2 linked regions of the Arabidopsis thaliana genome follow. The protein of the gene in region 1 interacts with the protein of each later gene in a pairwise test. Each region holds a gene or a part of one and is shown in the gene's direction. Other genes may lie near its edges.

Region 1 (5,495 bases):
ATGTAGTAGAGAGACGAGTCGGACAAATCGAGTTGTCTGGTGAAAATCTAGACGAGCTGGGAGACGAGATAGGCGGACTGTGTAGTCAATGGACGAACTGACAGCTAGGCGAGGAGATAGATGAGTTAACTTGAGGGACGAGCTGCTGACTAGGTGAGGAATTGGACGAACTGACTAGCTGACAGCTAGGCGAGGAGATGGTCGTTGAGTCATGTGGAGCTTGAAGACGATCTGAAGAACTTAAAGACGAGCTGTAGAGCTTAAAGACGAGCTGAGGAGCTTGAGGACCAGCTGAGGAGCTTGATGACGAGCTGTGGAGCTTGAAGACGAGCTGAGGAACTTGAGGACGAGCTGAGTAGCTTGAGGACGAGCAGAGGAGCTTGAGAACGAGCTAAGGAGATTGAGGACGAGCTGAGGAGCTTGATGGCGATCTGAGTACCTTGAGGACGAGCTGAGGAGCTAGAGAACGAGCTGAGGAGCTTGAAGACGTTTTAATATGGATTTCTTCCTCCTTTTTTCCATGCCTCTCTATTTATAGAAAAACTAAGCTCACTACATAAAAGGTATAATATGGTACTTTAACCTTGATCATTGTGACGTTGGTCTCCACCATATTGGCATAGCAGCTAACGGAGGCCAGCAATCTACATGTATGTCATGCTATTATTATGTAGAGGAAGGACTGAAGAGGGAAAAACCTATATGAGCCAACTTGAATGGGCTAAAGACACCACCATGGCTGAAACGTGTTGGAAACAAATCAAAACTTCACTAAATGGGATTAGAGTGGCGAGAAAAAGATTGTACATGATATCACTTCGCAACATGAAACCCCCCGACGTGTGCCATCCAAGAGATTTGGACAACACATGTGAGAAATGTTTTTTCTACAAACAAATGTTTAAGTTTATTTTTATGGTATAACTTAAACAAAACATTTAGAGAGTTGGAAACTGTTTTTAAAAAATTCCCTATAATGTTTGAGCAGTGAACTATCACAAAGACTCAAAACAAAGTTATTACTCTTATTTCTTTTGCTTTAATGTGTGTCTTTCCTTGCTGTTGTAAGGAAATTTATATTTACAATAAAATCAAACTTTTAATTAATTATCTAAGCATATCGTACTTTCAATGTTAATATTGTTATAATCCAACTCTTTTTGGCTAATTCGCGAAGAGACGTTGAAAAGTGAAATCTTCCCAAAACCAAAGAGTAGTTTCTAAGATTTTAACAGAGACACAAAGAGAAAAAACAAATGGGCGGGTTCATATTGGGCCAAAATTAACAATGGCAACGATGTGTAAAATAACTTCGTCGTTAGTCTCTGTTCTTCGCTATCCTCTGCAGCAACCGCTTAATACGAGAGAGAGAGAGAGATTTCCATTGTATTTTTAATTTAAAATAAAATATATAAAAACAAGACCAATGTAACAAATGCATTGCTTAGATATATATAACTCTAAAAAATATTCTTACAAGATAGTAAGTTTGGTCTATTGTCCTATAAATTCTAGCATATAACTGGTAACAATATGAAAAAAAAATGTAAAACTATACATAGATTACAAAAATGTAGAAATCAAAAAATAAGATTAGCAAATAACAAAGATATTCACCTTTTAATCAAAGATCAGTAAAAAAAATCGAAGTTATAATTACATACTAACAAAACCAAAAACAAACCACCAACGCGCGTGTCTCCTCCCTAGTTAATTAAAGGCAAAAGGAAGACGAGTAACACGTGGCAAATACTCTATCTGTAGCCGTCATAAAAAAAATTGTGGGACCCTACACCCTATAAATCAAGAACTACTGGTTGTTCGCCAGCGAATTAACTAAAATATTTAATAAACATAAGAAATGACAAGTTTAGCCCTCTTTCCATAGGCATAACATGGTGGCTAATTTGGGAATTTCAGCAGCATTCGGAGTCAAAATAACGATAGCGCGTGTCGGTGAAATCGCGGTATACGCGCGTCGATAGCCGCCAGGAGAATCCTTTTTTTACACAATCAAAGAGAGAGATCCCGTAAATGTTTTATACTCTGATTTCTAGGGTTTGCTTTTGATTCTCTTTCGCGTTCCAGATAAATAAATCCTTTTGTGGAATAATTTCGTGATTTCGTTTGTGGGTTATCCGAATTTTGTCTGAATTTGAGTTTTTGAGAAGGAAAGGTTTGTTTTTTCGGGGGATGGTGGAAATGAGGAAATCTGGAGGTTTAAGACCGGAGTCTGAATCGGCGGCCAGGTGCCGAGATGAGCTACCGGTGAAATTGGAGATTGCTGAAGATGATTTAGAAGAAGAGCATGGTCCTCTCAACAAACGATCTAGGGTTTGTTTATTTCTCTCCTTTTGTTTTTTTCTTCTCAGATGAGCTGATCTAATTCAGTTTCTGCGATAATTCAATAGCAATTCTTAGCATGCAGTGATGGTTTTATATTTAGCTGGTTGTGAATTGTTTGGTGATGTATTTTTTTTAATTATTGATTGTTGCATTGAATTTAGTTATGGAGTCCTGGGACAAGCTCATCGACAATGGCACCAGCTAAGTATAACCCGCTTGATGAGCCGAGTCCTCTTGGATTGAGTCTTAAGAAGAGTCCATCTTTGTTGGAGTTGATTCAGATGAAGATAACGCATTGTGGTGATCCTAAAGCAGCTGAAACGTTGAAAGCTGGTGCACTTGGCTCTGGTCTTAAGAGAGAAAGTAAAACTATTGCTGCTGCTGCATCAGTTGGACCGACTTTGGCGCCAGGAAGTATTGAGAAGCTGAAAGCTTCTAACTTTCCTGCTTCGCTTTTGAAGATCGGGCAGTGGGAGGTGAGTCCTGCGAAATGTTTCGTTTTGATATGTTTTCATGGTGGTTTCAAAATCTGACTTGACTTGGTTTCTTTTTTTGTGCAGTATAAATCGAGGTATGAAGGTGATTTGGTGGCAAAGTGTTACTTTGCTAAACACAAACTTGTTTGGGAAGTGTTGGAACAAGGTCTTAAGAGTAAAATCGAGATCCAGTGGTCAGATATTATGGCTTTGAAGGCAAACTGTCCTGAAGACGGACCTGGAACTTTGACTCTCGTGGTATAACATTCACTCATGTTCTTTTCTTTTGCTCAACATATCACTCTTGTTCAACTTTAATGATTTGACTCTTTATGTTTCAGCTTGCTAGACAGCCCTTATTTTTCCGGGAAACAAACCCACAGCCTAGAAAGCATACCTTGTGGCAGGCGACATCAGATTTCACTGATGGCCAAGCCAGCATGAACAGGTACAGGCATTTCATGTAAATTTTTTCTGAATAAATTTGGTGATGTCCTAGCTTCAGCTAACGATAGTCTCCCTGTGATCTGTTAGGCAGCATTTTCTGCAATGTGCTCAAGGGATAATGAACAAACATTTTGAAAAGCTCGTTCAATGTGATCATCGTCTGTTCCATCTAAGCCGACAGCCGGAGATAGCTATTGACTCTCCCTACTTTGATGCACGGCAATCTATTTTTGAGGATCCAAGTGAATCAAAAGGCCATCCTTTTGGGAATTTGAATCTTAGTACAGGTCCTTCGATCTCTGGGACTCAGAATTTAGCATCTCCTGTTGGGGCTCAGTCATCATCTGAGCATATGTATCTGTCTCATGAAGCACCATCACCCAGCTCAGGTATTATGATGACTGCTCGCTCATTCTAGTTGCTTTCATAACTCGTTATTAGAATATAATTTTTCATTTTCACTTTTGTTGAACCTGATTAGGATTGTGGATTTATATTTCTGTTTGTTTGCTTCGTTCATCTCTAGTGATAGATGCTCGTGCAAATGAAGGAATTGGGGGTTCTGAAGCAGTCAATTCAAGAAACAGAACAGATTGTGGTCAGATCGAAGCACCTGGAATACACCAATCTATGTCACTGAGTGATTTCCTTGCGGTTCTCTGTGATACAAAAAACACAACGGATTTGAATCTGGCTGACGACGTAGATGGACTACACCAATCTATGTCAGTTAGTGATTTCGTTGCATATTTATCTGATTCAAGAAACATAACTGATTCAGATCAGATAAAAGTACCTGGACTACACCAATCTATGTCAGTGAGCGATTTCGTTGGACTTCTCTCTGATTCTGCTGGTGGAAGTCATCCGGAACATATGGAGAAATTTGAGATCATGAAACAGCAGTTGCTAAGTGATAATATCCAGTTCGAGGCACCAGATGAGAAGTCTCTCATGCCAAGGGTTAACTCTTTATTCAACCTCTTGTACAAGGATCCCAACGTCGCTGCAAACTCACAGCTCAATACCGAAATGTCGGTTGGATTGAAGTCTGAACCCAAGGGAATTGTTTCTGACAACAACAACAACAACAACAACAACAACAGAGTTCTTGATACAGCTTCTAGCAGCAAACCACAGGGTATGTTAAGGAAAGACTCATTCAGCGATTTGCTATTACACCTCCCCCGGATCACATCCTTGCCAAAGTTCTTGTCCAACATTTCAGAAGAAGATGGTGATGCATATAATAGATAATTTATAGATACCGCCTTTCTTTTCTGGATTTGGCAAGTATAGGAACCTGGACTAGTAGCTTTTCTGTTTTTTTTTTCTTGTAAATCAAAATTATCACTTGGTAACTACAACCCCCACAGGGATTTGAAGAAACATGTTTTGATGATTAATTTCTGTATATTATTCCCAATATAAACCAAAGTTGGCAGAGGCAAAAGATTCCATTATTTATCCTAAAACTTTTTTATTTTCTCGTAATATTTAGTAATCTTTTTATTACAGCATTCAAATTATAGCAGAGTATGTACAATACAAGGAGAAAAGATTAAACTAAGATCAGTGATCATCAGCTGTACATAAAGAAGAAAGATATGAAAATAAAAGAAAGTTAAAGAAGAGACAAATGAAACCCACAAATCATATAAAGGGGCTGTCTGGTTTTAGATTGTGTTATTTGAATTCAAAGTATTTACATTTTTTGTTCTTTTTTGGGGGGAGGGGGTTTCTTCCATCACGTCTATCTGCTGCCTTAGGAACAAGCAAAAGGATCAGGAAGCTTGTTGATGAATAGCAGTGTCAGGAAGCATTGCTATTGTCACTATGAAGTATTCACATCCTGAAGAGAGACCATAAGGGTTTGATGTTGTTGTTGCTGAAGTTGATGTTGAGATTGAACTTGATGCCAGAGTTCTCGAGCCCTGGTCTGAGCAGAGATGATGTGTCTTACCCGCCTCAGGAGAAGCAGAAGCTGAAAGTTGTGATGGCAGTTTCACTATTTGGCGCTCTATGTGGACAATCTGTCCAACAATGTATGTAGGCCGGCTTGGGAGATGATCTGTGAACAATGCCTCAGATTCAGAGGACAAGTAGTAATTTGGGCAGTTCCTGTTGATTGCCTCGTAATGCCCTGCTTGGTTTAGCACAAATGCTGCTATCTCATGGACTTCAAGACGACCGAATGATATCTTTTCCTTATTTGCCTGTCATCAC
Region 2 (4,407 bases), on another chromosome or scaffold:
TTCTTGTAACACATAAACCGTTTTCAAATTCCTTATAAATGAAATATACGCTCATTATAACTACATAATCACTCATACGGATTCGAATGAACTTTGATAGCATGATCTTAAGAGCTGGATAAGGAAGTATCTTAGGTAAAAGAAATAAGTGGATGAGAGAGAATAGGCGTCTTGGTTTGTAATCTTGTTGACGAGGAGAGGGAATGAGAGAGAAAGTGATCATGAATAGGGTTTGAATTTGATTCGAGGGAATAGTTGCTGTTTCAGGACTCAAATTGAGAGGTCCACATGATGAGGAATATGTGTAGTTTTATTTAATGTCTGAATTTGATGGATCCTTCTGAAACCTTTGATTTCGACAAAACACCCACAATGTGTTTGTCTCTCACTTCTTTACGTAACCTTTGTAGATTCTCTCACTCTCTCTCATGTCCATTTGCGCCACGTCACTCAGATGGTTGTACCATTTGCGATTATTTGATCTCAATGTGGATTGTTATACGTGACATGTCATCGTCCTATTGGTTTAGAATCAAAAACTTTAATCTCCCGCGTCCCCTTACCCAACCAAAAAACTATTGATGATCACTTTGCCTTTTTTTTGGCCGTCCATTATTGTAACGTATACTACACTTGTCATGGTGGTACGACTATACCCAAATTAATACTTTGAGGAGTCAATTACGTAGATGATTAAATTATGAATATTATCTGGAAGAGATCGACGACATTTGGTTGGTGTAATCAACTTTTTCGGGGGTTTGTGTCATTCATAAATAACAAAAATTTCAGAAGAAAAAGAACTAAGTTAATCATTAGACAGAAATTTCAATAGCGTAACTTCAAAAAACTAATTATAAAAAAACAAAATCAACTGTGTAACTTACGTCAGATGTAATGTTTATTAGATGTAATAGGTTCCACTAATCCATATCAATATTATCATTTATGAGATGGAGTGGGATTTTGTCTTTTATGCTACATTAACAAGTACATGATAATTTCTGGGTTTCTTTTACCGGTCTTAATATTAATAAACATGTTGGTATGCATGGTTAAGAGTTAGGACTTAATTAGGAGGAGGCTCATACATATATGACAGAACTGAAAAATTCAGTAGCAAACATTTATCTATAACATGTCGTGTAAATTACGTTGGTTCTTTTTACGACAGAGGTTTACTAATGTATATGGATTATCTCATACTCATAATATGTAGTTACAATATATATATATATATATATATATATATATATATATTATAACTTTTTTGAATCTAGATTATATTCAAAGAAAAAAGAAACATTTATACATGTGAATGCAAAATGCAAACTTTTTAAAAAACAAATTACAAAGATTTTCTATCCTTAATGTTGCTCGATGCAAACCACGTTTGGATCTCATCCGCATATTTCTTCACTTCTCCTTTTCTTAAAGTGCTCAAGTGATTTCAAATGTTCTTATCAATCAACTTACCAGTTATATATTTTATATGCATGGTATTCCCTATTTAAACAAGTTCAACATTCCTTTAACAAAAAGAAAAAGAAAAAGGAAAACAAGTTCATGCCTCTCTTGCCTCACCTTAAGAGTAGACGTACCGATGTTCAGGGGCGACCTAGGCCTCTAATACGTCTTCTTATGATATTTCAATTGTCAAATCGATGGTCACACAACGGTAGTCATCGTAGATATACATTTGATATGTTTGTTACAACAGTTATCTTTTCTTTATTAATGGTAAGCCTTAACATAAGTGTTAAGACTTATGATTATATGCCTTGTATATTTCGCACTATGGTTTTATATTGTTTCAAAAGGAATTCGGTGAGTTACAATTGTTGAAGTCATTATTTTATTTGCCATTTTTTAAAGTATCAATCCTTTAAAATTCCGAATTTATCGTTTACTCTCCTTTTATGTAATCATGTGCTCTTAGAGCCAATACAACTAACTTTCATTTTCTTATATAAGTTAAAACATTAACAAATAGGTATAGATTTAATTTCTAGAAGATTATGGAAATTAAAACACGACTAAGTGTTTTTTTGCAGAAAATGTATAGAGAGAGAGGGGCCATGGATCACGTGGAGGATGCGTGAGATGGAAATGAAAAAACGAAGGGAGAAGAGAGAAAGAGTGATTTTACAAATCTCCTCTAATCCTTTCTCAGCCAATTATGATCAATCTCCCACGTGGGGCTTCTGGCCCCATGCATGCATATCATCTTTCAACTATTCACTCTTTTGTCTCCTTCTTCATCTTTTTGCGTGATCTTCTTCTATATATGGCTGTCTTTATCTCCACAAGTGGCTTTTAGAAAGAAGACTCTCTTTTAAGTTTGGGTGTTAATTCTAGGGTTTCCATTAACAATGGCAGATTCTTCTTCTGCTTCTTACATTCACATGGTAATATTATATTGATTCAAGAACCTCATGTACTTCTCCGGCCGTCGATTCTATGAATGATCTTATCTATTTATCTTTTACGTATGTACCTCAATATCTTTGGATGTGTGTATGTATGTATAGGTGCAGCACATGATAGAGAAATGTTTGATCTTCCATATGAGCAAAGAAGAGTGTGTGGAAGCTCTCTCTAAGCATGCAAACATCACTCCTGTCATCACCTCTACTGGTTTTAATTCCTCTCTCTCTCTCTCCTCTTTTTTAATACTTTTTACCTTTCCGTAATCCTTATAAACACACAAACATATCTGTACCTATGTACTCTCTAACGGGATTAATTATATGTATAAATTATGGAGCTATCATCATATTATGATACCATCATTTAGAATTTGATCATGTAATATGTACTTAATTAGCTACAGATAGGATCTAGCGTGATGGATCGATCTTCAATATTTCTATTCATATAAGTGCTCATGCATAATCAAATTAATGATTATATACACTGACTTGACTACCTGGCGACTAGAACTTATACATATACAAAAAAAGCCAAAGAAAATATAAAAATCCTTGCAACATATATATCCGGCCTATATATTTTGTTATCATAATATTAATGAATTGGAACAAAATAAATGACAGTGTGGAAGGAGCTGGAGAAAGAGAACAAGGAATTCTTCAAGGCGTATGAGGAGAGGCAAAGCAAACAAGAGCAAATGTCGGAGGAAGAGACAAACCAGATGATCCAGAAGATTATCTCGGATTCATCTAAAGAATCCGACGACTGATCGCGATGTTCGATCGTTAGATTTCGAAAACCTTATAGTTTATATATATGAATCTCATGAAAACGATTTATCCCTGACGCATGCATGTTTATAAGTAAATCGTTTTTTCATCTTAGCATCGGTCCAACAAGCAAGACAGCAAAAAAAGGAGTGATGACACTCTTTTTGGTACGTTATACGTACGTGGTCCACATAATATTGCCTCTGTTTAATTATATATAATGAAACGGACGCTAGCTCATACATGGATCGATGGTGTGGTGTTTTAATTGAATGTATCGTGTGTATATATTTTCAAATAAACTATTTATTTCGGGTTTTGGTCACCTTAAAAGGCTTTAGCACTCTTGGAAATTTTGTATCATGGTTTCCATATGCTTGCAAGTTTCGGAACCCAAAAGTCCAGATTTTAGCCAGATCAGTAAAAACGTTGATCAGCTGTTTTTTGGTCCATGATCGGCTGTTTTTTTTTTGGGGAACGTCTATGCAGCCATTTTTGTTTTTAATAGAAATTTCTTCAAATTGAAAATTTACATTAATTAAACAAAAACAATAACATGGAGAAAAAGTTCTTGAACAATATCCAATTAATTTGCGATTAAGTGGTCAAAATGTGTCCGATCCTATGATCAGCCCATAACTTGAACGTTGTTAATTTGTTATACCTTGTGCAGAAATGTCTTTTTGGGTCAAAGTTCATAAGAAAACTCTCACTTAACATGCGTTGTTAAGTGAGTGACTACTCACAAGAGTAGTAACACGTTTCAATTTCCAGCCCACGTAAATCTAGACTACATGGCTCCTATGTAATAATTCTTTCTTTTTGTTGGTAAGTAAACAAAAAATTATAAAAAGGATTTATTCTTACGTTAACTTGATATAAAAATGGAATTTCGAGAGTATATAGTATATACAAACGAATAAATAGACCGGTTGAAATGCAAAAGGTATGTATTTGCCAAAAAACAGAGAGTTTTGAATATAAAGAATTAAAGACAAAGATTGTCATTTAACTTTCTTTTTTTCAGTACAGTAAACGTGCACAACACAATATAGACCACACATTAAACTTATAAAGAAGAACATACAAACGAAACAGAGGAATTTTCTTTCAACAAATGCCATAACTCTTCAAGCTTTGTAGTATGTAAGATAAACACTGAAATGGAGAATGGTATCATGACCATCAGTAACATGTTGGTCTT

What was found.
Region 2: the proteins of AT4G30780 (region 1) and AT3G55240 interact in a two-hybrid assay, tested with the Arabidopsis thaliana proteins (one large-scale study listed by BioGRID).

What each region holds. Positions count from the first base shown.
Region 1 is NC_003075.7:14,988,330-14,993,824, forward strand, and holds AT4G30780 (ATP-dependent DNA helicase), read left to right. Parts: upstream 1-1,956; 5' UTR 1,957-2,193; coding exon 2,194-2,334; intron 2,335-2,507; coding exon 2,508-2,822; intron 2,823-2,906; coding exon 2,907-3,080; intron 3,081-3,163; coding exon 3,164-3,270; intron 3,271-3,356; coding exon 3,357-3,658; intron 3,659-3,795; coding exon 3,796-4,526; 3' UTR 4,527-4,756; downstream 4,757-5,495. Other genes in the region: AT4G30790 (autophagy-like protein), read right to left, coding at 5,054-5,485.
Region 2 is NC_003074.8:20,472,671-20,477,077, reverse strand, and holds AT3G55240 (Plant protein 1589 of unknown function), read left to right. Parts: upstream 1-1,745; 5' UTR 1,746-2,372; coding exon 2,373-2,408; intron 2,409-2,531; coding exon 2,532-2,637; intron 2,638-3,056; coding exon 3,057-3,202; 3' UTR 3,203-3,743; downstream 3,744-4,407. Other genes in the region: AT3G55230 (Disease resistance-responsive (dirigent-like protein) family protein), read right to left, coding at 4,334-4,407.